4 linked regions of the Saccharomyces cerevisiae S288C genome follow. The main gene of each other region encodes a partner of the protein of the gene in region 3 in a complex. Each region holds a gene or a part of one and is shown on either strand. Other genes may lie near its edges. A codon is read from its position in the direction of its gene.

Evidence for each region.
Region 1: the proteins of ARP7 (region 3) and STH1 are in contact, whole or in part, in a cryo-EM structure (PDB 6VZG), measured with the Saccharomyces cerevisiae proteins. Residues at the interface, in NP_015359.1 of Saccharomyces cerevisiae: Glu25 (codon at 3,882), Leu26 (codon at 3,879), Leu147 (codon at 3,516), Ser148 (codon at 3,513), Gly150 (codon at 3,507), Lys151 (codon at 3,504), Ser152 (codon at 3,501), Asp171 (codon at 3,444), Gly172 (codon at 3,441), Ile173 (codon at 3,438), Ile344 (codon at 2,925), Thr442 (codon at 2,631), Asn445 (codon at 2,622), Leu446 (codon at 2,619), Pro447 (codon at 2,616), Ser448 (codon at 2,613), Leu451 (codon at 2,604); in NP_012140.1 of Saccharomyces cerevisiae: Arg320 (codon at 4,864), His323 (codon at 4,873), Leu324 (codon at 4,876), Lys326 (codon at 4,882), Ile327 (codon at 4,885), Ser329 (codon at 4,891), Ile330 (codon at 4,894), Ile331 (codon at 4,897), Phe333 (codon at 4,903), Ile334 (codon at 4,906), Arg337 (codon at 4,915), Ser343 (codon at 4,933), Gln345 (codon at 4,939).
Region 2: ARP7 (region 3) and SWP82 share a complex: the UniProt entries of both Saccharomyces cerevisiae proteins name them as parts of the SWI/SNF global transcription activator complex.
Region 4: ARP7 (region 3) and SNF11 share a complex: the UniProt entries of both Saccharomyces cerevisiae proteins name them as parts of the SWI/SNF global transcription activator complex.

What each region holds. Positions count from the first base shown.
Region 1 is NC_001141.2:114,086-123,931, forward strand, and holds STH1 (RSC chromatin remodeling complex ATPase subunit STH1), read left to right. Parts: upstream 1-3,906; coding exon 3,907-7,986; downstream 7,987-9,846. Other genes in the region: MET18 (Met18p), read left to right, coding at 1-2,819; RRT14 (Rrt14p), read right to left, coding at 2,939-3,559; alpha-ketoglutarate dehydrogenase KGD1, read left to right, coding at 8,604-9,846. UniProt on the Saccharomyces cerevisiae protein: Catalytic component of the chromatin structure-remodeling complex (RSC), which is involved in transcription regulation and nucleosome positioning. RSC is responsible for the transfer of a histone octamer from a nucleosome core particle to naked DNA.
Region 2 is NC_001138.5:33,600-41,367, reverse strand, and holds SWP82 (Swp82p), read right to left. Parts: upstream 4,566-7,768; coding exon 2,694-4,565; downstream 1-2,693. Other genes in the region: GTPase-activating protein RGD2, read right to left, coding at 1-947; EMP47 (Emp47p), read left to right, coding at 1,188-2,525; putative Mg(2+) transporter ALR2, read left to right, coding at 5,520-7,768. UniProt on the Saccharomyces cerevisiae protein: Involved in transcriptional activation. Component of the SWI/SNF complex, an ATP-dependent chromatin remodeling complex, which is required for the positive and negative regulation of gene expression of a large number of genes.
Region 3 is NC_001148.4:636,225-643,478, reverse strand, and holds ARP7 (Arp7p), read right to left. Parts: upstream 3,955-7,254; coding exon 2,521-3,954; downstream 1-2,520. Other genes in the region: GLN1 (glutamate--ammonia ligase), read right to left, coding at 159-1,271; HTS1 (histidine--tRNA ligase), read left to right, coding at 4,460-6,100; Rab GTPase-binding protein SRO7, read right to left, coding at 6,255-7,254. UniProt on the Saccharomyces cerevisiae protein: Component of the chromatin structure remodeling complex (RSC), which is involved in transcription regulation and nucleosome positioning. RSC is responsible for the transfer of a histone octamer from a nucleosome core particle to naked DNA.
Region 4 is NC_001136.10:587,696-593,822, reverse strand, and holds SNF11 (Snf11p), read right to left. Parts: upstream 1,385-6,127; coding exon 875-1,384; downstream 1-874. Other genes in the region: IPT1 (inositolphosphotransferase), read left to right, coding at 2,479-4,062; PAA1 (polyamine acetyltransferase), read left to right, coding at 4,421-4,996; FMP16 (Fmp16p), read left to right, coding at 5,444-5,725; ubiquitin-specific protease DOA4, read left to right, coding at 6,104-6,127. UniProt on the Saccharomyces cerevisiae protein: Involved in transcriptional activation. Component of the SWI/SNF complex, an ATP-dependent chromatin remodeling complex, which is required for the positive and negative regulation of gene expression of a large number of genes.

The sequences.
Region 1 (9,846 bases), on a different chromosome or scaffold from region 3:
CTAAGCTTGATGATCAAGCGCTTGCAAAAGAAGTCTTGGAGGGCTTCGCCGCATTAGCTCCAATGAAATATGTCTCCATTAACGAGATAGCCCAACTTTTGAGATTATTATTGGACAACTATCAACAAGGCCAGCATTTGGCATCAACTAGACTGTGGCCATTTAAAATTTTGAGAAAAATATTTGATAGATTTTTCGTCAATGGATCCTCGACCGAACAAGTCAAACGAATCAACGATTTGTTTATTGAAACATTTCTTCATGTTGCCAATGGTGAAAAAGACCCTAGAAATTTACTCTTGTCATTTGCACTTAATAAATCTATCACATCGTCCTTGCAAAACGTGGAGAATTTTAAAGAAGACTTATTTGATGTCTTATTTTGCTATTTCCCAATCACTTTCAAGCCACCAAAGCATGATCCTTACAAGATCTCCAACCAAGATTTAAAAACAGCTTTGCGATCAGCAATTACTGCGACGCCATTATTTGCCGAAGATGCTTATAGCAATTTGCTGGACAAACTCACTGCTTCTTCACCGGTAGTGAAAAATGATACACTTCTGACGCTATTAGAATGCGTTAGAAAATTCGGCGGCTCTTCTATATTGGAAAATTGGACGTTACTTTGGAACGCTTTGAAATTTGAAATTATGCAAAACAGCGAAGGAAATGAAAACACTCTACTAAATCCGTACAATAAAGACCAACAGAGTGATGATGTGGGCCAATATACTAACTACGATGCTTGCTTGAAAATTATTAATCTAATGGCATTGCAACTATACAATTTTGACAAAGTATCATTTGAAAAGTTCTTCACTCATGTATTAGATGAGTTGAAACCAAATTTTAAATATGAAAAGGATTTGAAGCAAACCTGCCAGATTTTGTCCGCTATAGGTAGTGGGAATGTCGAGATATTTAACAAGGTCATTTCGTCAACTTTCCCCTTATTTTTGATCAATACATCTGAAGTTGCCAAACTTAAGCTGCTGATTATGAATTTTTCTTTTTTTGTTGACTCGTACATTGATTTGTTTGGAAGAACATCTAAAGAATCGTTGGGAACACCGGTGCCAAATAATAAAATGGCTGAATACAAAGACGAGATCATAATGATTTTGAGCATGGCCTTGACAAGAAGCTCCAAGGCAGAGGTTACCATAAGGACTCTATCTGTGATTCAATTCACAAAAATGATTAAAATGAAGGGCTTTTTAACCCCAGAGGAAGTTTCACTAATTATTCAATACTTCACGGAAGAAATATTAACGGATAACAACAAAAACATTTACTATGCTTGTTTGGAAGGGTTAAAGACAATCAGTGAGATATATGAGGATTTAGTTTTTGAAATATCATTGAAGAAATTATTGGATTTGTTACCTGATTGCTTCGAGGAAAAAATTCGAGTAAATGATGAGGAAAATATTCACATTGAAACAATTTTGAAGATTATTCTTGATTTCACCACTTCGAGACATATTTTGGTCAAAGAAAGCATTACATTTTTAGCGACAAAATTGAATAGGGTAGCTAAAATTTCGAAATCCAGAGAATATTGCTTTCTACTTATTTCAACCATATATTCTCTTTTTAATAATAATAATCAAAATGAGAACGTGCTAAATGAAGAAGATGCTCTTGCACTCAAGAATGCCATTGAGCCAAAATTATTTGAGATAATTACTCAGGAATCGGCCATTGTAAGTGACAATTACAATTTGACACTTCTATCTAACGTTCTTTTCTTCACCAATTTGAAAATTCCACAGGCTGCACACCAAGAAGAACTAGACAGATATAACGAGCTTTTCATTTCTGAAGGTAAGATAAGAATCTTAGACACACCGAATGTATTGGCTATTTCATATGCTAAAATATTATCCGCACTAAATAAAAACTGCCAATTCCCCCAAAAATTTACAGTGCTTTTCGGAACGGTTCAACTACTCAAAAAACATGCTCCAAGAATGACGGAGACTGAAAAATTAGGATACCTGGAATTGCTGTTGGTCTTATCAAATAAATTCGTCTCTGAAAAAGATGTGATAGGATTATTCGATTGGAAAGACTTATCAGTAATTAATCTTGAAGTGATGGTTTGGTTGACTAAAGGGCTGATAATGCAAAACTCATTAGAGTCATCAGAAATTGCAAAAAAGTTTATTGATTTACTGTCTAATGAAGAGATTGGCTCACTTGTATCGAAGCTATTCGAAGTTTTTGTCATGGATATCAGTTCTTTGAAGAAATTTAAAGGTATCAGTTGGAATAATAACGTTAAAATCTTGTACAAACAAAAATTCTTCGGTGACATTTTTCAAACACTAGTCAGCAACTATAAAAATACCGTGGACATGACCATTAAATGCAATTATTTAACTGCATTATCCTTAGTGTTGAAGCATACTCCAAGCCAATCGGTTGGTCCTTTTATCAACGATTTATTCCCGCTTTTATTGCAGGCTTTGGATATGCCTGATCCTGAAGTAAGGGTATCCGCTTTAGAAACTCTGAAGGACACTACGGATAAACATCACACTTTAATTACTGAACACGTAAGCACAATAGTTCCATTATTACTATCTCTTTCGCTTCCGCACAAATATAATAGTGTCAGTGTCAGGTTAATAGCCTTACAGCTTCTAGAAATGATTACGACTGTAGTACCTCTAAACTATTGTTTGAGCTATCAGGACGATGTTCTAAGCGCTTTAATACCAGTTTTATCTGACAAAAAAAGAATAATAAGAAAGCAATGCGTTGACACAAGACAGGTTTATTATGAATTAGGCCAAATCCCGTTCGAGTAAACGCTTGTATTTAATAATTTGTTCACATTGATGAGCACGTGAAAATCTTAGCGAGTATACTAAGTAAATATGATTCTTTTATGTATAGTACAGCAAAATAGCATTTATTTTTATTACGTTTAATCTTCTTCACTAGAGTCTTCCTCGTCGCTTAGTCCTACAGGTGCCAAACCCGGTGTCAGACCAGGATATCTATGATCTTTAACAAAATCGCTCTCTTTGATATCTTCCTTGAATTGTTTTCTTTTGAACCTTCTTCTTTTACTCCTGTCTGTGTTCGCAGTGGAAACTGTATCCTTCAAGATGGATTGCTGAATGTCTTCAAGCTCATCTCGTACTTCCTCTTCTAAATCCCACGACCTCAAATTTTGAGAATTCCTTTTGATTAACTTATTCAAATACTTCCTCTCATGGTCCGTTAATGTGCCCTCATGTTGATGTTTTTTCAAAACCTGGTGTTTTGCCAGTTGTTCAAGTTGCTCTTTATCTAATTTATGTTTCTTAACTTTTTTTTTTTTGACCAGTTTGCATTTTTTTTTAATTTTGTGAACGTCTCTGTTTTGTAACTGTACTCTCTTTTTCAAGTTCCTGTCGATTAACTGAGCTTTTGACCCATTGTTTACACTTGTTTTGCCATTATTAGCTCTGATTTTGGGAACGCCAGGCAAAAGGTTTGATAGCAGTCCATTAACAACCGAGGTGGCCTGGTATTTAGATGTTTGGCTCAGCGAAGATGACATTTTGGCCTAGCTAGCTCCCTCCTTAAGTTGTTCGTATTCTAAACAACTTTTCCACAAAACAATATTTCCACAGTTGCCAGCTATATTTCCATATTCCTTAGTTAAAGCTCATCGCAAAATTTTTCAAAGAGCATTAGGGTCACGTGTATACATTCACGTGACTATCTAGTACCCGCCCCGTGGCAAAAAAAGAAGACACCAATTTGGCACTGAGAAAAGAAAAAGTTTATCAATAACGAAAACGAAACTTAAGAGGAAAAAGAGTATAGAGAAAAACAAAGGCAATCAGCGGCTAATTTGGTGGAAATAACAACACAAAGAGGCAGCACAGTTTAGAGCAAGCGCGAATGCTTCAGGAACAATCTGAGTTGATGAGCACGGTGATGAATAATACACCTACAACAGTTGCCGCATTGGCTGCGGTTGCTGCAGCCTCTGAAACAAATGGAAAGCTGGGGTCCGAGGAACAACCTGAAATCACTATTCCAAAGCCGAGGAGTAGTGCACAGTTGGAGCAGCTACTCTACCGCTATAGGGCTATTCAAAACCATCCAAAGGAAAACAAGTTGGAGATCAAGGCAATAGAAGACACTTTTAGGAATATATCACGTGATCAGGATATCTACGAAACAAAGTTGGATACCTTGAGAAAGAGTATAGATAAAGGATTTCAGTACGATGAGGATTTATTGAATAAACACTTGGTTGCCTTACAGTTACTGGAGAAAGATACAGATGTCCCTGACTACTTCTTAGACTTACCAGACACCAAGAACGATAACACTACGGCGATCGAAGTAGACTATTCTGAAAAGAAACCAATAAAAATATCAGCAGATTTCAATGCGAAGGCCAAAAGTTTGGGTTTAGAATCAAAATTTTCTAACGCTACGAAGACTGCATTGGGCGATCCAGATACCGAAATAAGGATTTCTGCACGTATATCCAACAGAATTAACGAGCTGGAAAGATTACCTGCCAATCTGGGTACATACTCACTAGATGATTGTTTAGAGTTTATTACAAAAGATGATTTATCGTCCAGAATGGATACTTTCAAAATCAAAGCTCTTGTGGAATTGAAAAGTTTAAAGCTACTAACTAAACAAAAATCGATTAGGCAAAAGTTAATCAACAATGTTGCCAGCCAGGCACACCACAATATTCCATATCTACGTGATTCTCCTTTCACAGCAGCTGCACAAAGATCTGTTCAAATTAGAAGCAAAGTTATTGTCCCACAAACCGTTCGTTTGGCAGAAGAATTAGAAAGGCAACAACTATTGGAAAAAAGAAAAAAGGAACGTAATTTACATTTACAAAAAATAAACAGCATCATTGATTTCATCAAAGAAAGGCAGTCCGAGCAATGGTCTCGTCAAGAACGTTGCTTTCAGTTCGGTAGATTAGGCGCTTCATTACACAATCAAATGGAGAAAGATGAACAGAAAAGAATAGAAAGAACTGCTAAGCAACGTTTAGCTGCTTTGAAGTCTAACGATGAGGAGGCTTATTTAAAGCTTTTAGATCAAACTAAGGATACTAGAATTACACAGTTATTGAGGCAGACTAATTCCTTTTTGGATTCTTTGTCGGAGGCTGTTAGAGCACAACAAAACGAAGCAAAAATTCTTCATGGTGAGGAAGTCCAACCAATTACAGATGAAGAAAGAGAAAAGACTGACTATTATGAAGTCGCTCATAGGATCAAAGAAAAAATTGATAAACAACCTTCTATTCTTGTTGGCGGCACTTTAAAAGAGTATCAATTACGAGGTTTAGAATGGATGGTGTCGTTGTACAATAATCATTTGAACGGTATTCTAGCAGATGAGATGGGTTTAGGTAAAACCATCCAATCTATTTCTCTAATAACATATCTTTATGAAGTTAAGAAAGACATCGGCCCTTTCCTAGTCATTGTACCTTTATCCACAATAACCAATTGGACTTTAGAATTTGAAAAATGGGCTCCGAGCTTAAACACTATTATATACAAAGGTACACCAAATCAAAGACACTCTTTACAGCATCAAATAAGGGTTGGAAATTTTGACGTCTTATTGACAACATATGAGTATATTATTAAAGATAAATCTCTTTTATCAAAACATGATTGGGCTCATATGATCATTGACGAAGGTCATAGAATGAAAAATGCTCAATCGAAGTTATCATTCACAATTTCTCATTATTATCGTACAAGAAACAGATTGATTTTAACGGGTACTCCTTTGCAGAACAATCTACCAGAATTATGGGCACTGTTGAACTTTGTTTTGCCTAAAATTTTCAATTCTGCGAAGACTTTTGAAGATTGGTTTAATACTCCATTTGCCAACACCGGTACCCAAGAGAAACTAGAATTAACGGAAGAAGAAACTCTGTTAATTATTAGAAGATTACATAAGGTGTTAAGGCCATTTTTATTGCGTCGTTTGAAAAAGGAAGTGGAAAAGGATTTGCCTGATAAAGTGGAAAAAGTTATCAAATGTAAACTGTCTGGTTTGCAACAACAGTTATATCAGCAAATGCTAAAGCATAACGCGCTATTTGTTGGTGCAGGGACTGAGGGGGCTACAAAGGGTGGTATTAAAGGTTTGAACAATAAGATTATGCAATTAAGAAAAATCTGCAACCATCCATTCGTATTTGATGAAGTGGAAGGTGTTGTAAACCCCTCAAGAGGTAATAGTGATTTACTTTTCAGAGTAGCGGGCAAGTTTGAATTACTGGATAGAGTGCTACCGAAATTCAAAGCCTCAGGCCACAGAGTGCTAATGTTTTTCCAAATGACTCAAGTTATGGATATTATGGAAGACTTCCTAAGAATGAAAGATTTGAAGTATATGAGATTAGATGGTAGCACTAAGACTGAAGAAAGAACAGAAATGCTGAATGCATTTAATGCTCCAGATTCAGATTATTTCTGTTTCCTTTTGTCAACTAGAGCCGGTGGTTTGGGTTTGAATTTACAAACTGCAGATACGGTGATCATCTTTGATACAGATTGGAATCCACACCAAGATTTACAGGCCCAAGATAGAGCTCACAGAATTGGACAAAAGAATGAGGTTAGAATTTTAAGATTAATTACCACTGATTCCGTAGAGGAAGTTATTTTGGAAAGAGCTATGCAGAAATTGGACATTGACGGCAAGGTTATCCAGGCAGGTAAGTTTGATAACAAATCAACTGCAGAAGAGCAAGAAGCTTTTTTGAGAAGATTGATCGAAAGTGAAACGAACAGGGATGATGATGACAAAGCAGAATTAGATGACGATGAGTTAAACGATACTTTGGCCAGAAGCGCTGATGAAAAAATACTATTTGATAAAATTGATAAGGAGAGAATGAACCAAGAAAGAGCAGATGCTAAAGCGCAAGGCCTGAGAGTCCCTCCTCCTAGATTGATTCAATTAGACGAGCTACCCAAAGTATTCAGAGAAGACATTGAAGAACATTTCAAGAAAGAGGATTCTGAACCATTGGGAAGGATTAGACAAAAGAAAAGAGTTTACTATGATGACGGTCTAACTGAAGAACAATTTTTGGAGGCTGTAGAAGATGATAATATGTCTTTAGAAGATGCCATTAAAAAAAGACGTGAAGCACGTGAAAGAAGGAGATTACGTCAAAATGGTACAAAAGAGAATGAAATAGAAACCCTGGAAAACACGCCTGAAGCATCCGAAACTTCATTGATTGAGAACAATAGCTTCACTGCAGCTGTGGATGAGGAAACTAATGCTGATAAAGAGACTACAGCTTCCAGGTCAAAACGCCGGAGTAGTAGAAAGAAAAGGACCATTAGCATTGTTACGGCAGAAGACAAAGAGAATACTCAAGAAGAGAGTACATCTCAAGAAAACGGGGGCGCTAAGGTGGAAGAGGAAGTAAAAAGTAGCTCCGTTGAAATTATAAATGGTTCAGAATCCAAGAAAAAGAAACCGAAACTGACCGTCAAGATCAAACTAAACAAAACAACTGTGTTGGAGAATAATGATGGTAAGCGAGCAGAAGAAAAGCCAGAGAGTAAATCGCCCGCGAAGAAGACTGCAGCCAAAAAAACTAAAACTAAATCCAAGTCGCTTGGGATTTTTCCCACGGTGGAAAAATTGGTGGAAGAAATGCGCGAACAGTTAGATGAGGTAGACTCCCATCCAAGGACGTCCATTTTTGAAAAGCTTCCTTCGAAACGCGACTATCCGGACTATTTTAAAGTAATTGAAAAACCCATGGCCATTGATATTATATTGAAAAACTGCAAGAATGGCACTTACAAAACTTTGGAGGAGGTAAGGCAAGCCTTACAAACGATGTTTGAAAATGCTAGATTCTATAATGAAGAGGGATCCTGGGTTTACGTTGATGCTGACAAGTTAAATGAGTTTACTGATGAATGGTTCAAGGAACACTCTTCGTAACGTTTTCATCACCACATGTTTTTTTTTTTTACGACTATATCCCTTTCCCCTCTAATACTCTTTCTAGCCTTTTTTTCTACCTCTACATATGTTTATAAAATATATACCACTGTAACAATAAGATCGACAGAGCGAATATAATTCTTTGAGTAACTAATATCCTTTGGCTTATTCTCTGGGCTTATTAGTGCCGCAAAATAATTACCCGGCGGCGATGGACCAGTTAGCTTCGACCGTTTGCGATTCCGGGGCTAAGGAAGGGGCCTCTGCAAATAAGAAAGAGGCATTACACATAAATGATTGGCAAAGGGACTGCGGGAGTCAAGACCTACATGTAAGTCCGATTTACGATAACGGTTTAGATTCATTGGGTGTGTACTATTTATACTTTAACAAACCCGTGTGTTATTTAATAAGATCATATCTTGTTTGTTTTTCGCCCTCAATTTTGTTTCTGTCACATAGTCGCAGCAGCTGAATATAGATAGGAAGAGAGAAGGAAGCGATTCTCGTTCAGCATCATACTTCTTCCTAATTTCCCCAAATTAAAGTTTCGTTTGAAAGAAACAACAAAAGAGAAAGAAAGCAGTTTTTAGAAAATACTAAATTTTACCGTTATGCTAAGGTTCGTGTCTTCGCAAACCTGCCGGTATAGTTCAAGAGGACTATTAAAAACATCTTTACTTAAAAATGCATCTACTGTCAAAATTGTCGGAAGAGGGTTAGCCACCACTGGTACAGATAATTTTCTATCGACATCAAATGCCACCTATATCGATGAAATGTACCAAGCTTGGCAAAAAGACCCATCTTCAGTCCATGTTTCATGGGACGCATATTTCAAGAATATGTCTAACCCAAAGATTCCAGCTACAAAGGCTTTTCAGGCTCCTCCCAGTATCAGTAACTTTCCCCAGGGTACCGAAGCAGCTCCCTTAGGGACCGCAATGACTGGTTCAGTAGATGAGAACGTCTCCATTCATCTAAAAGTGCAATTGCTATGTAGAGCTTACCAAGTTAGAGGTCATTTAAAAGCCCATATAGATCCTTTAGGGATCTCATTTGGTAGTAATAAAAATAACCCTGTTCCTCCGGAATTGACTCTAGACTACTACGGCTTTAGCAAACACGATCTTGATAAAGAAATCAACCTAGGACCTGGTATCCTGCCAAGGTTTGCAAGGGACGGGAAATCTAAAATGTCTCTGAAAGAGATTGTGGATCATCTAGAAAAGTTATATTGTTCCTCTTATGGGGTACAATACACACATATTCCATCTAAGCAAAAGTGTGATTGGTTAAGAGAGAGAATTGAGATTCCTGAACCTTACCAATATACAGTGGACCAAAAGAGACAAATCTTAGATAGATTAACATGGGCCACTTCTTTTGAGTCATTCTTATCTACAAAATTTCCAAATGATAAGAGGTTCGGTTTAGAAGGTTTGGAAAGTGTTGTTCCAGGTATTAAAACTTTGGTTGATCGTTCTGTTGAATTGGGTGTAGAAGATATTGTTTTGGGTATGGCTCACCGTGGTAGATTGAACGTTTTATCCAATGTGGTCCGTAAACCAAATGAATCTATTTTTTCTGAATTTAAGGGTTCGAGCGCTCGCGATGATATTGAAGGATCGGGTGATGTCAAGTACCATTTGGGTATGAACTACCAAAGACCAACTACGTCTGGTAAGTACGTCAATTTATCGCTGGTGGCAAATCCTTCTCATTTAGAATCCCAAGATCCAGTTGTTCTTGGTAGAACTAGAGCTTTATTGCATGCCAAGAACGATTTGAAGGAAAAAACAAAGGCCTTAGGTGTGTTATTACATGGTGATGCTGCTTTTGCTGGGCAGGGTGTTG
Region 2 (7,768 bases), on a different chromosome or scaffold from region 3:
CGGGATATTAAGGATTCACCAGTGGTAGGCTCCTCTGAACCGGGCATTGGCACATTGGCAAACATGTACGCGGTATTCTTCCATTGGTATTGAAATTTTTTAGAGTTGACAAATGTATTACCAACACCGTTGCAATATTTCAAAAACCCTAAATTCAACAAATCTTGGCCAAACGTTTCAGCTTGATCAATATCCTTTAACGACATGTGGTCAAGCAGAAACTTCGTTATTTCTCCACCATTGTTGGTGTTGCTCAAAGAATAACTAATGAGAGGTAGCTTATAGTCCGTTTTAGGAAGCTTGGTCAGTAACAGCTGAAGCGTCTCCTTCATTGTCTTATAATCAAAATCTATTCCCGCTATCCTGTTGAAAAATCTGTGATCCTTTTCCCTGGCCACATCTTCTTCGTATTTATTTTGTATTTTCAATGATTTCATTGCATTTGCTAGCTCATCTTCGTTGAAATGAGTTCTTTTAAATTCTTCTAGCTGCCTACATTTATTAAAATATTCCTTCTCCAGCTTACCGACGTACTTTTTAGACTTCCTGAAATTATTTACATTGGTCAACAAAGTCTTCTCGGAGTATTGAATTCTCTCCCTATGTTCTATGCACCATTTACTGAATGGCTGCAGCACCAAACTTTCTATGTTCGACGCTATTGTCAAGTGATGCGTCCCTTCCTGAGACATTTCCTGTAGAATTCCCCTCAGGGCCCTCGAAACTGTCACCCCTTCATCTTCATCTTCCTGCACTGCCTTCAGATTGTCCATACCGGCTTCTATACCAAACAACTGCCTCCCGTGACTGACTTCAAATTGCATTCTTGACGCAAATAATTGAATGAACAAGTCGCATTGCTCACAACCATGGTATAATCTATCAAAAAGCACATCTAGACCTGAGACAAGGTCTTCAGACCAAAAATAGTCGCAAAATGATAGCATGCTCGCTTGCAGGTGTACAACATCTATTACAATTCAACGGAATATTATTCCTGTTTCATAATATTTCAATTTCCATCTATTATTGTCATTACGTCTTGGTATCACTATACACGAGTAGAGAAACAGTATGAACTCTTAAGAATGTTTTTGATCTTTTAATAGAAGCCTTAATTGGTATTGAATAATTATAATTATACCAATAAAATTAACAAATAGTTAGCATCAGGGAATTTGTATTTTATGATGATGTTAATTACTATGAAAAGTACAGTACTGTTGAGTGTTTTTACCGTCTTAGCGACATGGGCTGGATTGCTAGAAGCTCATCCATTGGGTGACACTTCAGATGCATCCAAATTAAGCTCAGACTACTCGCTCCCTGATCTCATTAATGCACGTAAAGTGCCCAATAACTGGCAAACTGGAGAACAAGCTAGTCTAGAGGAAGGGAGAATTGTATTGACTTCTAAGCAAAATTCCAAGGGTTCACTTTGGTTGAAGCAAGGATTCGATTTGAAGGATTCTTTTACTATGGAGTGGACATTTAGGAGTGTTGGTTATTCTGGCCAAACCGACGGTGGCATATCATTTTGGTTTGTTCAAGATTCTAACGTACCACGCGATAAGCAGTTATACAATGGGCCAGTGAACTATGATGGTTTACAATTATTAGTGGATAACAATGGTCCATTGGGCCCAACACTTCGTGGTCAACTAAATGATGGTCAAAAGCCTGTAGATAAGACGAAAATCTATGATCAGAGTTTTGCATCTTGTTTGATGGGTTATCAGGATTCCTCCGTTCCTTCCACGATCAGAGTAACTTATGATTTGGAAGACGACAACTTATTAAAAGTTCAGGTGGACAATAAAGTCTGTTTCCAAACTAGGAAGGTTCGCTTTCCCTCTGGGTCTTACCGTATTGGTGTCACCGCTCAAAATGGAGCAGTGAATAATAATGCAGAGTCTTTTGAAATATTCAAAATGCAATTTTTTAATGGCGTGATTGAAGATTCTTTGATCCCTAATGTGAATGCAATGGGTCAGCCAAAACTGATCACCAAATACATTGACCAACAAACCGGCAAAGAAAAATTGATTGAAAAAACAGCATTTGACGCTGACAAAGACAAAATTACAAACTATGAATTGTATAAGAAACTGGATAGAGTTGAAGGTAAAATTCTTGCGAACGATATCAATGCTTTAGAAACAAAGCTAAATGATGTCATTAAGGTCCAACAAGAGCTATTATCATTCATGACTACGATAACTAAACAGCTCTCTTCTAAGCCACCAGCTAATAATGAAAAGGGAACGTCCACCGATGATGCAATCGCTGAGGATAAAGAAAATTTCAAAGACTTCTTATCAATCAATCAGAAATTGGAGAAAGTCCTGGTTGAACAAGAAAAGTATAGGGAAGCTACCAAACGTCATGGACAAGATGGTCCTCAGGTCGACGAAATTGCCAGAAAACTAATGATTTGGTTACTTCCATTAATTTTCATTATGTTGGTTATGGCATATTACACATTCAGAATCAGACAAGAGATCATAAAGACCAAACTGCTATGATTTTGGATTATTCCTTCCACTCAAACCAATTGTGCACATGCATTCCCTATATATGTATATATATGTAACAATACATATTTTATAAAATAACGAACGATAGTTTATATTACTACTTCAACAATGGTTTATTTCTTATTGGAGTGTTCCCTACATTATGTTTTACTTCTTTCAATTATTCATAGCTACTTCGTTGCTGAAGTTAGCCAGGTTGTCCGGTTTAGCGGCGACCGGATCCGTCGCCACCACTGGATTAGCATTTGTGTTCTTTACTTCAGTGTCCAGCTTAACAGCCGTTTTATCCCCAGCGACATTTTGTGGTACTTTGTTCACATGAGAATAAATGTATGGAGGTTTAAAATCCTTAATGTTACAATTTCCTAGGAAGTTTGGGTTCGGTACCCTCTTTGTTGTTATTGTTTCATCCGTATTCGTTATTTCGTTAAAATTTGTAGTAACACTCGTTTGCGCCAACACATCTTTCAAATATTTATTTTTGAATTCATCCAATTGAGACCGTTTCAAACCGATAGGAATACCTGCCTTGTACTGCCAGTACTTTTTCCATTTTTTTGTCCTAACTTTTCTAACGTTCTGCAAACCGGTATTAACAAAAACGGCATCGTGTAAATGCTCTAGTTCTTTAATTTCGTTCGGTGTCAGCTGTTTCAACCTTTCTAGCAGCGTGTTTTTTTCATATAACGGCAATCCTCTATAATATTGCTGTTTACCTGAATTCTCGGCGGATTTTAATGGCAAAGATTCAAATTTCCAGCCGTTTATGTTTAACGATGTATTATTTTTGTGTTGGCCCTTGTTCATGGGTTTTATCATTTCGTTCTCCTCAGACTTCTTGTTTTTTGATGAGGAAACGTTAATATCAAGAATGCTACTTAGCATTCGTTTGATTGGTTTATTGCTAGGATTGACAGATGGAATATGGTTAGGAAGTGAAATTGAAGCGGAACCATCAGGAGCTTGACTTTCATATTGCGCAAGTAATTCTTCATGTCTTCCGATTGGTATGTCCATTGCCTTCATTTGCAGAGCTTGTTGAAATGAGTTTTTGCTGTGATAACGCGGTACTCTAAATTGTGCACTGAGTTCCAATGTTCCACTAATGCTTTGACCAGGAACAATTGCCGAAATGTGCTCACCTTTGGCAAAGTTTTCAATATAGGCTTCTCTAATCTCCGCTGACGGTTGTTCCGTGACTATTGGATACTGTGATTCGAATTTTGAAGTAGAAATCGTACAGGTATTATTAGTGTTCGCACTAATTTCATTGGCATTGCTAATCCTGTTATTTTGGAAGGAGGGGCGTAAAAGTGAGATTTTAGAAATTAAATTTGTTGATAATTTGAAAACCCTTTGGTGAGACGACAAATTTTGCTTTTTAGCTAAAGATTCCCAATAATCATCAACGATGCGTTGACCACCGGCAATAACAGAAGCACCGAATTCAACAAAGGCTGACCTGGCAGTTATATACTTAAAAGATCCTTTGGATTCTTCAGGAATGACACCATTTTTGGCCAAAAATTTTGTTTGTTCCTCAGAAGTTTCCATTACCAGAATTTGATCATGCTGGACAATAAACTCGTCCTCGTCATGCGTTGCGTTGCTTTGGTATAACACTTTAATGACATCTTGTAAAAGTACCAGAAGAACACCCATATGAGCCGTGAATGTGAAGGTGTTGAACAAATAATGTCTACCGCCAAATAATTCACCGTTCGAACCCACTTTTTTCTCACCATAAGCATCCAATTGTATCATCTTGTAGGATGTATTAGTAGCGTCTCTCGTCTTAAGTTCATCTATATATTTCGGTAATTCTAATTTTTTGTAGGGAAATTTGTCTAAGGGAGGTTGAACCAATTCATCTTGATCCAGGATTTGCAGAATTTGCTTAAGTATCACTCTTTCATGTTCTCTGATAAGTATTTTGGGTACTATAAATACAGCTCCAACCTCTCCTTGTTTTACAGAAGGATTATTTCCCTTTTCAAGAACGGTATTCCCTTCATCTTCGCCAAGCATATTCGTCTCTCTTTAAAACGCCCTTTGTTTTGGTTCTTCTTCCTACTTTTTTTATTTATAGTATTATACATTCCATGTTTTTCTTGTTTTTACATTGAGAAAAGTCCAGAAAGGGAAAAGTGATGGTTCGAAAAAAAAATATAGACGGCTGAAACTACAACTATATTTAATGCACAGGGCCACTTTCTGAACGGCTAATCTTTCCATGTCAGGATATATTTCCGTTGTACTTGACGAGGTCATAATACTCTGAAAATTTTTTTAGATACGACAAATATATCAGCTGCTAAACTCCTTTATGGATGTGTTGAAGGGAACACTTATCGCTTATTCTTCCTACGTGCTAGATTCCGTAACTGAGCTGTACTTCCCACATCGTAGTTGCCTAAATGTGAGAAACAAGAAGTGCCCTTCGTGCTTAGACCGTGGATATCATATATGTGAAGGTTGACAGTTCTTCCAAGTTTCAACAAACTATGCAAGACCTCCATTAATTTATACGCACATTCATTTGACAGAGGCCCTGTATACAAGAAGTACAGACAAAACTAACCGTTGTCCATATCCTACTATCAAACTATTCTTTCAGGTACGTTTTTACTGCCTGACCGGCTATAAGTTACAAAAGCGACTCCTTGAGATAAAAATTTTCTTCGAAAAATGCAGCATTTGGTTTGGCTGTTCACGAAAGTGGCTGCTTCCAGAGAAATCAGGTTTTCCTCGAGCATATGATATTTTAACGTAGAGGTTTATATTATAAAAGTGGAAAGGTAAAATCAACAGCGTTTATTTCCTCTATTCAATGTTCAGCAAGGACGGTAGAGACTACTATTGCTAAACAATTACTTACATGGAAATGTACTGTCAGTTGGATAAAAAAATCGACAGGAATATATTTTAATCACCTTTATAGAAGTACTGAATTTTTATGAGAAAACGTGAAAAAACTTCGTAATGTCGTCCTTATCCACTTCATTTGATTCATCGTCAGATTTACCAAGGTCAAAATCCGTTGACAATACGGCGGCTTCCATGAAGACAGGCAAGTACCCAAAATTAGAGAACTATAGGCAGTATTCTGATGCACAACCAATACGTCACGAAGCGCTTGCATTGAAAGTGGACGAAACGAAAGATTCTAGACACAAATTTAGTTCCTCTAACGGGGAGAATAGTGGAGTGGAAAATGGAGGCTATGTGGAGAAAACGAATATATCCACAAGTGGCCGCATGGATTTTGAAGGTGAAGCAGAAGCAGAAGCAGTGAAACGTTACCAGTTAAGATCTTTCGCGCTTTTAAGTTCTAATGCGAGGCCATCCAGGCTAGCAAAGTCTGAAACTCACCAAAAGCAGATTCATGTAGAGAGCATCGCTCCCTCTTTGCCAAAGAATGCGGCTTTAGAGAGAGGCCATGATACGGCGTTACCTGCCGGTACGTCAAGTAACAGATGCAACTTAGAAGCCTCCTCCTCGGCAAGAACTTTTACAAGCGCTCGTAAGGCTTCGCTAGTTAGCGCAATCTTTGAAACATCGGCTGAATCAGAGCATGGTACGCATCCCAAACAGGCGAAACTTAAGAGAAGAACCTATTCTACAATATCGACACATTCATCAGTCAATCCTACAACGTTGTTGACAAGAACTGCATCGCAAAAGTCCGATATGGGAAATGACACACGAAGAATTAAACCGTTACGTATGGATAGCAGGGTATCTTTCCATAGTGAGATATCGCAAGCATCCAGGGATTCTCAAGAAACAGAAGAAGACGTTTGTTTTCCAATGTTTCGACTATTACATACAAGAGTTAATGGTGTTGATTTTGATGAGTTGGAAGAATATGCCCAGATTTCAAATGCTGAAAGAAATCTGTCTTTGGCGAACCATCAAAGGCACAGTGAACGAACATACAATCATACCGACCAAGATACTGGATTTACTAACTCTGCTTCCACTTCAGGATCCTCAGCAGCTCTGAAATATACACCTGAAATTTCACGGACTCTTGAAAAAAATTGCAGCGTTAATGAGATGTACGTATCTGAAAACAATGAATCTGTGAGGGAAGATGATAAACCTGATCTACACCCTGACGTAACATTTGGTAGAAATAAGATTGAAGGTGAAAAAGAAGGAAATGATTCGAGTTATAGCCGGGCGTATTATACCCTCCAAAATACAGAATATCAAATTCCTAGTAGATTTTCGTTCTTCCGCTCTGAATCTGATGAAACTGTGCATGCTAGTGATATCCCTTCTTTGATATCCGAGGGACAGACGTTTTATGAGTTATTCAAGGGAGGCGATCCAACGTGGTGGTTGGATTGCAGTTGTCCAACTGATGATGAAATGCGTTGCATAGCAAAAACATTTGGAATCCATCCTTTGACCGCGGAAGATATCAGGATGCAAGAAACGCGTGAAAAGGTAGAGCTTTTCAAATCCTATTACTTTGTCTGTTTCCATACATTTGAAAATGATAAAGAATCGGAGAATTATCTTGAACCTATAAATGTTTACATCGTTGTTTTTAGGTCAGGTGTCTTGACTTTTCATTTTGACCCAATATCACACTGTGCCAATGTAAGAAGACGTGTAAGACAATTACGTGACTATGTCAGTGTCAATTCAGATTGGTTATGTTATGCTTTAATCGATGATATCACAGATAGTTTTGCTCCGGTTATTCAATCCATCGAGTATGAAGCTGATTCGATTGATGATTCAGTGTTTATGACCCGTGATATGGATTTTGCAGCCATGTTACAAAGGATTGGTGAAAGTAGGCGTAAGACAATGACGCTGATGAGACTCTTGAGCGGTAAAGCAGATGTTATCAAAATGTTCGCCAAAAGATGTCAAGATGAAACTAATGGTATTGGGCCAGTGCTTAAATCTCAAACTAACATGGTGAACTTACAAGCGGAACAAGAGAATGTGAACCAGAATAATAGTAATAACCAAATAAGCTTATCAAATAGCTATATGCAAACAACATCACAACCAAGGGGAGATATTGCTTTATACTTAGGTGATATTCAGGATCATTTGTTGACGATGTTTCAAAATTTATTGGCGTACGAAAAGATTTTTTCTAGATCACATGCAAACTACCTGGCCCAATTACAAGTGGAATCATTTAACTCTAATAATAAAGTTACAGAAATGTTGGGTAAAGTTACTATGTTAGGTACAATGTTAGT
Region 3 (7,254 bases):
TGTTTTTGATCGTGAGATGGGAAATTTTTTATGTAAAAAAGTAATGTAATATAGTAGTAAAATAAATAAATAAATCATTAATATTTCCTGTGCATTATTGTTAGTTTATTAGTAGATTAGTTCCTGCCTAAAAAAAATTTTGCACCATTGTATTATGCTTATGAAGATTCTCTTTCAAATTCCTTCGTCATGTCAGCATTGTCAATAGCACCGCAAACAGTTTCACACATGATACCTGTAACCAAGTATGGGTCGATGTTGGAAGCTGGTCTACGGTCTTCAAAGTAACCGTAACCTTCCTTGGCGACGGATCTTGGGATTCTAATTGAGCTACCTCTGTTGGCGACACCAGAAGAAAAGGCAGTCATGGAAGCGGTTTCATGTCTACCAGTTAATCTCATGTCGTTATCGCTACCGTACAACTTAATGTGTTCAGCGTGTCTCTTGGATAACTTCTCGATGGCTTGTTCGATGTATTTCATACCACCTGGTTGTCTCATTTCCTTGGTGGAAACGTTAGTGTGACAACCGGCACCGTTCCAGTCACCCTTCAATGGCTTTGGATGGAATGAGATCTTGATACCAAACTCTTCTGCCACTCTGTGCAAAAAGTATCTGGCCATCCATAATTGGTCACCCATGTCAATACCGGTACATGGACCGACTTGGAATTCCCATTGAGATGGCATGACTTCAGCGTTAATACCAGAAATTTCTAATCCGGCATACAAACAAGCTCTGTAGTGAGCTTCGATCATGTCTCTGGCATAAACCTTACCGGCACCAACACCACAGTAGTAAGGACCTTGTGGAGCTGGGTACCCACCCTTTGGCCATCCGTAAACATCGTCATACATGTCAAATAGAGTGTATTCTTGTTCTAGACCAAACCAGATTTCTTCATCCTTATGAGCAGCAAATAGCTTGGCAGCTTCGTGTCTGTGGTTGAACTTGTTTGGAGTACCGTCATTGTTGTAACATGCGGCCAAGACAACAATGTTGTCACCTCTCCTGAAGGGATCTGGGTAGTAAGCAACGGGTTTCAAATAGATGTCAGAGTCGTGGCCTGGCGCTTGGTTGGTAGAAGAACCGTCGAAGTTCCATTCTGGCAATTGGTCAATGGATGTGATTCTCTTCTTCAAAGTTCTACCTTTGGAACGTAAGTTACCAGTACCATCGATCCAAACGTATTCGGCAATTATTCTACCTCTTTGGTCCAGTTCTAGATATTTTTGTAAAATTTGAGTCTTTTCGATGCTTGCTTCAGCCATTTTTGATTATATTATATTATATTATGTTTAATTTTTGTTTCGGTTGAACTTCTTCTATAAATGAAATGAAGTTAATTTCTCACAAATATGTATGTGATTCTATAGTTATCTTTGTGTGATGTTCTTACCTAACGAAAACAAAGACAGAACAACCTACGAACCAACCAAGCCTGAGAATTCGATATATAGAATCACTCCCTTATATATTACAAAAAAAGAAATCTACAAACTAAAATAAAAACATGGCAAACAATATGCGTCGGAGTCATCTTTAATTCATTATCAAGCCTACTACTTACACCTGACCGCTTACACTAACAAATGAATTAATTTTTCACTCTTTTTTCATATTACTTTTCTTTTTTTCATCCTACTTTTTCTTTTTTTGTTTGTGTTTCGCTACACAGGACATCAATGCGGCATATCAGCCTACTCTCCTGCCAAAAATAGTGTACTATTTTCGCATATTTGGGGAATAATAATGACCACAAATGGCACTATGATGCGAAAAAAATTTTCGATAAAACACCGTCTGGCATCGTCTGTGCGGACCAACTGCTGTAGAAGACTTTTTTTTTTCTGCCTTCGCGAGCTTATCTTATCTATTAGGGGAGCGCAGTCATCAATTGTAAACAAACGTGCGAAGCGATCCGTAGTCCTATCCGGGTAACACTCATCGTCCGGCCTCCGCCCCCTTTTCCCCGGGAGAACCGTATGCGGGTACTGGGTTTAGGGGATCCTTGTTTTGGTTCTCGCGAGTGTTTTTCCGATTGCGAGATTTTATTTTCCCTTTCGCATCATCCGGACGAGCCAAAAGCGCCATTGTTCCGGCCGCACGTGCAGCGCATGTGTACTTGCGCACTTTTGTTTACTATTGTCCTGACAAACTGATTACCAAATGTCTTTGAACAGGTGGGACAAAGAGAGACAAAAAAGCGGCTATCATGTAGCTGGGACGATATTCCGCCGCCGGGTAGCGCATATTGAAAAATGGCTGTTTACAGTGGGCCTCACTAGCTTAGAGTTCATCTCTATATAACTATTTATACAGTTTTTTTATATTAGAATGGGTTCATCGAGTTATCGCGTTTGTTTATATGTCCCTCACTCAAAGTAGGGGGTGGACTGAATCTTGAAGGAAACCCGCTTACTCCTTACTGATAGCTACTACCGGCGCTGAGAAAAATGGGTCGAGATCTCATCTCCTTCTAGCCGCCTACAATCCCTTTTGGATATTTGCGCCTTACCACTAGTTTGTTGCGTTCGTAGCCTGCGACTGCTTTCTGTCTCTTTTCAGCGTTTCGTAATCTTCCTTAGAGTACCATTTTCCCAAGCTCCATGATGGCAGATTGGCCATTGTAAGGGCGCCCAGCCATCCCTGGATTTTACGGTCCATCATGACTTGGTTGGCAAAAGTTGTCAATTTGTATTGCGGGAACCTGATTGACAGCTCCTTTATTATGCGTTGCTCCATACCTTCGATCAGAGAGGTAGATCCTGTGATGATGACGTTCGTCAACAGTAGCGAGTATACTTGTTCTGGTGATATGTTGCTGCTGCTGGCAGTACTGTTATTATCGCCAACATTGGTGTTTATATGGCTTGTACCCAATCCGTTTGGGTTGGTGGAGGTATTGGCCTTCATTGAATTTATACTAGCGCCGGCCTTCTTGACTGATTTTGCCATTAGCGGTCCCAGTCCGTCCTCTGGTGAGAATTTGTCTGATATCAGTTGAGGTTTGAAGAGATACTCTGCGAATTGGTAGCACTCCTTAAGGTCCAAGGTTAAAGTCTTGTTTAATGGCTTGAATAGAAAATTTTTCTTTTGAACCAACGGATTGTTGGGGCTTCCCGTTAACGCCGTGTACTGAAGTTGCTGATCCATTTGTTTTAACTGCTCCTGTTGCTTAGCGTATATATCTGCTTGCTCTTTGTAATACCTTTCCAACTCAAACAAGTCCTTTTCGCTTACTTGCAACATAGTAGACTTGAATTGCTGAATCCACGTGCTTGCTTCGTACCAAACGTCGGTGGACCTTTTTTGCTCGTCGGCCATGTTTTCCATGTCGTTCTCTTCTTTAATCAGTGGAGCCAACCTTTCGTGTACTTGAAAATCCAAGAAATCACCGCCAAATTTAGATCTCACTACAGCATTCTTCACCACAATACCGTCAATGATGGGAGTAACGTTACAGCCTGACGCGCCGATATCAATCACGAATGCAGAACTCTTGCCCATGGATAGGGCAATTGCCAATGGCTCGATTACAATCTGGAATACTGGTACATTTAATTTGTCGAACGCCAGCTCATAGTAGCGCTCTAATATGGCCATGTCCGGTTTACCATTGGTGGCAGGCATCGTAATCACCAGTGGCAGTTCCTCGGGTGAAACTTTCAATTGGGTGTCGTACAGATATCTCCACTGCATCTCCAATGCGTCCCAATTGTACGGTAACCCTTGGCTATCTACCAATGTATACACCTCGTCACCATTGCGTTTTTCTGCCGCAGCGTCTATCATATTGTAGGTTCCGAATATAAACTCAGCTTCCCCCCCCTCATCTGTTCTTTTAATATAGCTAGAGGGTATAATGCATTGTGGCAATTCAACGTTACTAAATCCAGCCACCGTTCTGTGCGATCCGTTATGTATCACTACGCACTTCCTATTCAATGTCATTCTTGACAGATCCTTTATAATGTAGTAATTCTCGCGCTTTTGCTAATAGCCTACTACTCTGTTCTATCTCTCTTGTTTACCATTTTCCGCTTTGTTTTCTTGTTTGAGGTTTGCTTTATTTTTTCTTTATTTTCTTCGAAACGCGGCCATCATTTTTTTTTTTCAGGATCACTCAAGGTGAACAAGTCTAAGTATTGAAAGGTGTGAAGACTTGCCGATGATATACTTATATGAACGCCGTGATGCGTACGTCTTTGATGGAAATATTGTATATATCTCTTTCTTTCCTTATAATCACTGTTCTCTCTTGTGTAATAAGTAAATCTATTCGTTTCCGTGTAAGGCGATAATTTTTTTGTTTGAAATTTTTTATCAAGTTTTTTTTTTTCTTCAATTCTAACCAGCTCGAAGATGACTTATGGCCTTGATCGACCGGGCTTTTAAATGAGTCTTACGGCCCAATGTGTTACTTTAGAATAGTTCCTTTCTGCTCGTCTCTTGCTTAATGCTTAGTAGATCACTAAATAAAGTAGTCACATCTATAAAGTCGTCTTCGATAATCAGGATGTCATCCGCTACCGCTGCTGCTACTTCTGCTCCTACTGCTAATGCTGCTAATGCTCTAAAAGCTTCAAAGGCTCCAAAGAAAGGTAAACTACAAGTGTCTTTGAAAACACCTAAGGGTACGAAGGATTGGGCTGATAGTGATATGGTTATCAGAGAAGCCATTTTTAGCACTTTATCTGGCCTATTCAAGAAGCATGGTGGTGTCACTATCGACACACCTGTTTTCGAGTTAAGAGAAATTTTAGCAGGCAAGTATGGTGAGGACTCCAAACTGATCTACAACTTGGAGGACCAGGGTGGTGAATTATGTTCTTTACGTTACGATTTGACCGTTCCTTTTGCCAGGTACGTTGCCATGAACAATATTCAGAGTATCAAGAGGTATCACATTGCAAAAGTCTACAGAAGAGACCAACCAGCCATGACTAAGGGTCGTATGAGAGAATTTTACCAGTGTGATTTTGACGTTGCAGGCACATTCGAATCTATGGTTCCTGATTCCGAATGTTTGTCCATTTTAGTGGAAGGTTTGACCAGTTTGGGAATCAAAGATTTCAAAATCAAATTGAATCACAGGAAGATTCTTGATGGGATCTTCCAAATCGCTGGTGTTAAAGATGAGGATGTGAGGAAAATCTCTTCTGCTGTCGATAAGTTGGACAAATCTCCATGGGAAGCAGTCAAGAAGGAAATGACCGAAGAAAAAGGTCAATCCGAAGAAACTGCTGATAAAATCGGTGAGTATGTTAAATTAAATGGTTCTTTGAAGGAAATTCACGCTGTTCTATCCGCAGATGCCAACATTACTTCAAACGAAAAGGCTAAACAAGGTTTGGATGATATTGCTACTTTGATGAAGTATACCGAAGCATTTGACATTGACTCATTCATCTCTTTTGATCTTTCTCTTGCAAGAGGTTTGGATTACTATACAGGTTTGATCTATGAAGTTGTTACTTCTGCATCTGCTCCACCAGAGAATGCTTCAGAATTGAAGAAGAAGGCCAAATCTGCAGAAGACGCGTCAGAATTCGTTGGTGTCGGCTCTATTGCAGCCGGTGGTCGATATGATAATTTGGTCAACATGTTCTCTGAAGCTTCCGGCAAAAAATCTACTCAAATTCCATGTGTTGGTATTTCATTTGGTGTTGAAAGAATATTTTCTTTGATCAAACAAAGAATTAATTCCTCTACAACTATAAAGCCAACGGCTACACAGGTGTTCGTTATGGCTTTTGGTGGTGGTAAGGACTGGACTGGTTATTTACCCGAAAGAATGAAGGTTACTAAGCAATTATGGGATGCTGGCATTGAAGCTGAATATGTCTATAAGGCCAAGGCTAATCCTAGGAAGCAATTCGATGCTGCTGAAAAAGCGGGTTGTCACATTGCCGTAATCCTCGGTAAGGAGGAGTACTTAGAAGGTAAATTACGTGTCAAAAGATTGGGCCAAGAATTTGCCGATGATGATGGTGAATTGGTTAGTGCGGCTGACATTGTTCCTATTGTTCAAGAAAAGTTATCACAAATTCATGAAGATGGTCTAAATGAGGTCACTCGTTTAATTAAAGGATTATAAACTTGATAGCTCATGTATTTACAAACCTTCGTAAAACTAGACATGTATAATGAAAAATAAATCGATTCAAATTAATTTATAAAGCATATAGAACTAAAAAAAAATAAGTATAGAAGGAAGTTGCTCATTACCCTGTATGAATTAGTGTATGTATTTAAAAACCAAGGGCACCTTTCATTACATCTTTTCCAGTCTGCTCAACAGCCTCGTTCATTGTTTCTCCCATGGCGGTAGCATAGTCGTTGAATCTATCTTCAACGGCGTCCCATCTAGTTTCTACAGCTCGAGAAACATTTCTTAGTACCCCGTAACTACTGTTCCTGCCCTTACGGGTGGGCTTGGTATACTGGTGTTCCGGATGGTTCGCATTATTATCGTCTGAAGAACGCTCCGAGAAACTTCCCTCAGCAATGATGCTCTCTTTGTATTTGGATGCAGGTCTATTCACGCCACCCAATAATTCATTTAATTGAGCGGGAGTACAATATACAGTGCCTCTTGCCCACTGTAATGAATTTACTTGTGGCCTATAGGGAATCCTGATTCCATTGATGTACAGTGTGTCAGAAACTGGCGCTAGCGTATCCTGTTCCTTGACAGTAGAAAATAGTGACGCCTGAAATTCACTCACTCGAATCGCTATATCACCATTTCTTAAAACAGATGATTCTGTAATGTATTTTGCGGCAATTGGAAATGGAATATGTTCAGACATTTGTTCTTTGAAATCTGGAATAGTAAAAACTCTTAGATGGCCATTGATTTCTAATGTAATTATTACGGTTAGGTTCTTCCTATCATTATTTTTCTCAACGGTTGAGATGTAAGATAAACCTGTCGCGGCAAGCGGGTATTTGAAACCTTTATGTGTACTTTTAGATTTGCCCAGTGTTATTAATCTGATATCATCGAATCCAGTTATTAATACAATACCAGGAATGCAAAGGCCTTTACTTAAATTCTGCATTTTTGGAATAGTTGCCAAGCAGCTAGATTTTGTTTCCTTTGAAAATGCATCAATTTTGTGTATCGGACCCTTACTGGTAACATTAGTAATATCCATTAGTTGCACATCGAACTTTCCACCTGATGCAGGAAGAATTTTGTATGTGATTACCTCGCCCATATCAGTACCACAGACCATCAATATACTA
Region 4 (6,127 bases), on a different chromosome or scaffold from region 3:
GTTGGTAGCTATTCGTATTGAAGTGCTTTTCTTCTTCCTTAGATTAGACTGAAAAAGATGAAGGAAAAGCTGACTGAAAGATCTCCGAAAGTACACGGAAATTGATAGTATTTAAATGAATCAGCTGAGACTTCCAGGGATGTCCGAAAATGGGGGGTTAAAGGCGTATTGTCCCAAAGAAAATGAGAATCGAGATTGTCTCTCCTTGATCGTCATAGTAGGAGCGTAACTAACCCCTATAATCAGACCCTCGGCCGCTCCGTCTCACTGCCGATTTCCCTGTATGGCACCAAATTTTTTCTTTTACAAGTTCCTTACGTAGAGAACGAGAAGAGAATAGAAAGGAAGGGGTTGACCGTTGGAAGGAGGGGGTCCAGCGAGGCTAGACTAGGTTAGGCTAGGCCAGAAGAGAAGGAGGGGAGGGAAAAGTCAGAGAGTCAAAAGGAGAAGGGGCTACGCTCCAAATGGCGTAGAGTAAACTAGTAGATATTGAGATTAGGCTTCCGTTACCGACGTGCATGATGAAGATGACAATGCTTACTGCGACGATGACGAAGGTGGCTCTCGAAGAAGATAATAAGAAAGTAGTATTAATAGGGCTGGCAGTAAGATAACTACATCTGATGTCATAGATTTTAAAATACTAATATTATTATTTACGTTGGGTACATTACATACGATAAATTCATGCAGTTGTAGTACTTGAGTGATTGTTATTTGCCTTTCTTTTTCTGCTTTTCGTATTCTATTTTTCTTATGCTTCCTGTACTTGCTCTGCGGGTATGCAATCACACCTGTAGCTGAATGCAAAATTAAAATTGCAAAAGTAAAAAAAAAAAAACAAAATAAAAAAGGGAAGAGAAACAAAGTTATTCTACCATATCTCGAACACTCTTGCCAAGAGAAGATAGAGTTTAGAAAGAATATCCTGTGGAGGTTGCTGCTGGTTGGCTAGCTGAGGAGGCGTGAGGATCAGTGGTTTCGCTGAGGGCACTCCTTGGTTTATCTGAGATATGCATTGAAGATTGGCATGAACCCTTTTAAGGAACTGAGATATAAGTTGCTGTATCCTGATGATGTTATTGTTATTGCTATTATTTATATTGTTCTGTAGATTGTTTTGTAAACTATTATTCATCTGAATAACTCTAGCAAGTAATATGCTGTTGATATGCAATAGCAGTTGTACCTTATACTGTCTTTGCTCATCGACCGTGGGGAGGTTCAGCTCTGCAGTTGCATTTGCAGTTGCATTTGCAGTTGCATTTGCAGTTGCATTTGCATTTGCATTTGCATTTGTATTTACATCTACGCCAGCGCCAGTATTGCGGTTCTCGTTTTCAGTGTTGGTGTTCGTATTCGAGTAGGCAATTTCACTGCTCATTTTTCTGGGAAAAAAGGAAATCTGTGTGTTTTGCTTATATGCACATTGAATTTACACTCCCGATCGTGATGCGCTCTGAGCCCTGAATAGAGGGTATCATAAACGGCAATCTTACTACGACCCCACGTAATATGCTTTTATGGGAAGTCTGTTCTCCACTCCGTATATACTGTTAGGAGAAAAAAGGAAAAAAAATTTGCCCGAAAGTCGATTGTTACCCGGCAAAACAATCATCAAAAAAAAACAGGTAGAAGAAGGCTTGCTATAATTTGAACACTCTCTACCCTCCTGGCTGCTTTATCTACTTCTGTTGGCTTGAGAAACGTCATATCTATATATAGCGTAGATATGTTTATTCGCGTTTGCACTGGCCTTGAAGAAACGTGAAAAGAGGGTGGTTTCACCGCACAGCGGGGTTATCCTTGGTTACTCGTAAATGCCAATAATCCATCTTGAATAATTCCTATTCGAGACGCATGGGGAAATGCAAGGCAAGCTAACACGTAGTAGAATACCCTGCTGCACAGCGCCGTTGGGGTCTCAAGTGCAATTGCCGTTTTGCGCGGCGATAAACGGCTAAAGATTACTTCAGTTGGCCACGGCAGCTGCGCCCTTCCCGAGTGGATTACGCTCACGTGCTTTCCGCGGAACAAAAATGTGAACGCCACGGGAAAAAAGCATTATCCCCGCGCCGCTTCTTGACGCCTCTGATTGTGCTGATTGATTCCGCTTTTTTTTTTTACCGGCTTTTTTCTCCGCCTTCTTCGCCTCAATCGAGAGTTCTGGTGTAAATTCTCTTACGAAGTGCAAAGTTAGTAGGAAAGTAAAAAAAATAAGAAAAAGGAAAAATGCCTAGAAATGCAGACCTCCGGCCACAACATTTTTATATAATACATTCGAGCATCAAAAACCAGGAACAATAGAAGAGTAATCGCTACTTGTCAAATAAAAATAAAAAAAGGAAACCTAAGGCATAGTGTTTTCATAAGCATCGCTACTTTTTCATTGCCACCCTAACTGTTCCTTTATTTCACCGGTTGGACGTTATCATTTCTGCTAAGAATCACCTAAAGTCTTTCAACGTCTAAGAAAGCATGAATGTCATATTTTCTTTGGCGAGTTTCGTCAAAAACATGTATAATGCAAGTTTGAACCAACGTAATCTAATAAGCCTGCCGTTCAACTTCATGCTTAATTTTGCGCCAGTGTTTATTTGGCTGTCTATATTCAAGCGCGCTGGTCTGATACCCATAAGGCTCAGACCTGACATTCATAGCAAGTTTGCTTTTTTTGCTGATCAATTCCTCTTTGGGGACTATTGGCATGAACTTACTGTACAATTGCCCGATAATACTTCGAAGCTATTTTTCTGGTCATTCATATCATCTTCTGCATTTCTCTTAGTATTTCTGATATGTATTCCCTTTGCCATTTGGTACTACATCTATTACATTAAGCACGTTAACTATAATCTGTTAGAGTGGTTCGCAAATATTTTTCATTACCCCTGCAAGCGCAAGCAGCGGCCGATCCAAAAGAGATTTCGGACAATTTTCATACCGTTTGCCTTGCCCCTGTTTACATTTGTTATACTCAACATTGATCATTTCTTTGCTTACCAGTCGGATGCAAACTTTACTAAGACCAAGGATTTACTGGCTTGGTTCTCCTATGTCATCCTGCACTTGACAGCTCCAATTTTAACAGCTGTATACTTATACGTCTTCCAACCACCGGGGACTTTAAAATGCTTTAGTTTTGCCCTAGGATTACAAAATATAGCGGGGGTCCTTACCCATCTGCTTGTTCCAATGGCCTCCCCATGGTTTACTCATCTGTACGGTATTGATGACACCGAACATGTTAATTACACCCAGGAAGGGTTTGCTGCCGGTTTGATAAGAGTAGATAGCCATTTGGGTACTCATTTGAACACTAAAGGATTTCACATGTCTCCTATTGTGTTTGGTGCTGTTCCTTCACTACACTCCGCCATTGCATTTCAATGTTTCTTGTTTTTGGTTTCAAGGTCCACCAGCTTAAAACACAGATTTTCCAATGCTGGAGGTTTCACAATGCACAATAATGATTCTTCCACTTTCAAGTTGAGTGAGGAAGACAGCGAAGATGAAGGTGACAATAGCATACCGCCCACGATTGGCCCTAACGACTTAGAGATGGAACCATTGGGTACCGTTGAGCCTGTAGATATTTCAAATGAGCGGTCCTCCTCCCCTTCATCTTCATTCACCGTATCCAGTAATGAAAGAAGCACCGGCGGCGGCGACGGCAGCATTATTAACAGCAATGGCAATAAGAAACCTCTCCAGTTTGTCCATTTATATGATGAAGACACGAACTTCACAAACAAATGGATTTTTAAAATAGTCAACGATGGGTTTATACCAAAATTCTGGGCTATCCTATATATAATACTACAATGGTGGGCTACCATGTATCTGGACCACCATTATAGATTTGACCTTTTCGTTGGTGTTTTATATGCAATGACAAGTTTCATCATCATAAACTGGTTTGTTTTACAACCAAAAGTTTTAAAAAAGTGGATTCATATAAGGTTAGGCGACAAAGTGGATACAAGAAACGAAGCTCGCACTTTTGGCATGAGAGTATTTTGTGGCACCAAGATGGAATGGTTTTTTGATCCGCTTGCATAGACTATAGAATGTCATAATGTAATAAAAGTAATTTCGGATAATTTAAATAATATAGATTGGCTTTTTTTTTAATAATATATTATTAGTGTTATGCATGCTTTTTTTTTTTATTTTAATAAAGGGTTAACCTGAAATCGGCTTGCTTTTGGTTTTCTGTCAATTCATAAAAAGAATAGTTTTGAACGGGCAAAAATGGAAAAGCAATGGAAGAACGACGAACATCCCACTGGACAAGAAGCGGGAGCAAGTGTTTGTAAGAAAAATTTACAACAAACTAGATTAAGAAGAATTGGACATCAGAATACTTTTCTCGGAGAAAAAATAACACCAATACATTACGATTAAATAAAAAGTTAAAATGGCCTCCTCAAGTAGCACGCTACCGCTTCATATGTATATTAGACCCTTAATCATTGAAGATTTAAAGCAGATTTTGAACTTGGAAAGCCAAGGTTTCCCACCAAACGAAAGAGCTTCAGAAGAAATTATCAGCTTTCGTTTGATCAATTGTCCAGAGCTATGTTCAGGTCTTTTCATCAGAGAGATCGAGGGCAAAGAAGTTAAAAAGGAGACACTAATTGGTCATATTATGGGTACTAAGATACCTCATGAATACATTACTATCGAAAGCATGGGCAAATTACAAGTGGAATCGAGTAATCATATTGGTATTCACTCTGTAGTAATCAAGCCAGAATACCAGAAAAAAAACCTGGCTACTTTACTTTTAACTGACTACATTCAGAAATTGAGTAATCAGGAAATTGGTAACAAAATTGTCCTTATTGCTCACGAGCCATTGATACCATTTTATGAAAGAGTTGGTTTCAAGATCATTGCTGAGAACACCAATGTTGCTAAGGACAAAAACTTCGCAGAACAGAAATGGATCGATATGGAGAGAGAACTAATTAAGGAAGAATACGACAACTAGATCATTAGTTTAACGCACTTTACAAATGTCTAATTATAAATACTACATATAATTTTTGTATATTTTAAAATTGCCAAGTATAATTAAAATCATTACTACTGGTGCTACCCTACATCCTTGACCGTACTGAGATATCACTGCTTAATTCCGGTGATTGGGTTCTTTTCAGTTCTTGGAGAGATATACGTACTACCTTCCTTTTTTTTTAAGGATACCTTTACTGTAAAGGGTTTGTTCCTGTATCAACCCCTTCTTCCTGTACAGAATCTAAGGGAACCGTAAAAGCACATAAGTATATAAAGGTCCCAAGATTTGATTAGGTAGATATGGCCTTTGAGTTGGCTCTTAGTTTTTTTTGGCCTTGAATACTTGTTCCTACAATACTCCAACAGCAGTTGAAGCCAGACCGCAGTATCACATATATAATACACAGGAATATATTTGATAATGTTGAGAACCACTTTTTTGCGCACTCCAAGACAATTGATGCGTAAATCGCCAAGGGCGTCTTTCTCAATCGTCACTAGGGCCGCCTTTCCTCACCTAAAGAACAATCAAGATGAAGCTGAGAAAAAAGAACAGGGTTTGTTTGATAGCAACAAGAAGAGGTTGGACACTTTGGAACACGGCAAGAATCCAGATTATAAGCAACCTGGAATGGAAGATTTGAAAAAAAAGGGAGATGACGCTAGAATCGAACAAAACAGGCCAGATGACGGTGTTTATTAAGAAGCACTTGGTACAAACTCGTATATGCATGTAGTTTCTGTCATACACATATCTATATTCCTTCCCCCCTGGTCCTATCGTATTTAGTCATATCATATCATTTATTGATATCTATATAAGTGCAAAACTATAACCATTATTTATTTGCTTTCCACATTGTTTTACTTCATTTGCTTCAATATCGTTCATTACGTTTAGCGAATGGCTAAGGCCCTTGTATTAGTAAAAGCCTAGAAAAAAAAAAAAAAAAAAAAAAAAGGATATGATGTTATATGATACGTGTAGTTCATGTATTTATCTTCGGTAGTATAGGGCAGATTTAAGACTGAGTGTGCACGCTTCCAAAGTTTTTTTTACTATTTGATACATGCTTAAGTTATGGAGCAGAATATTATTAGTACC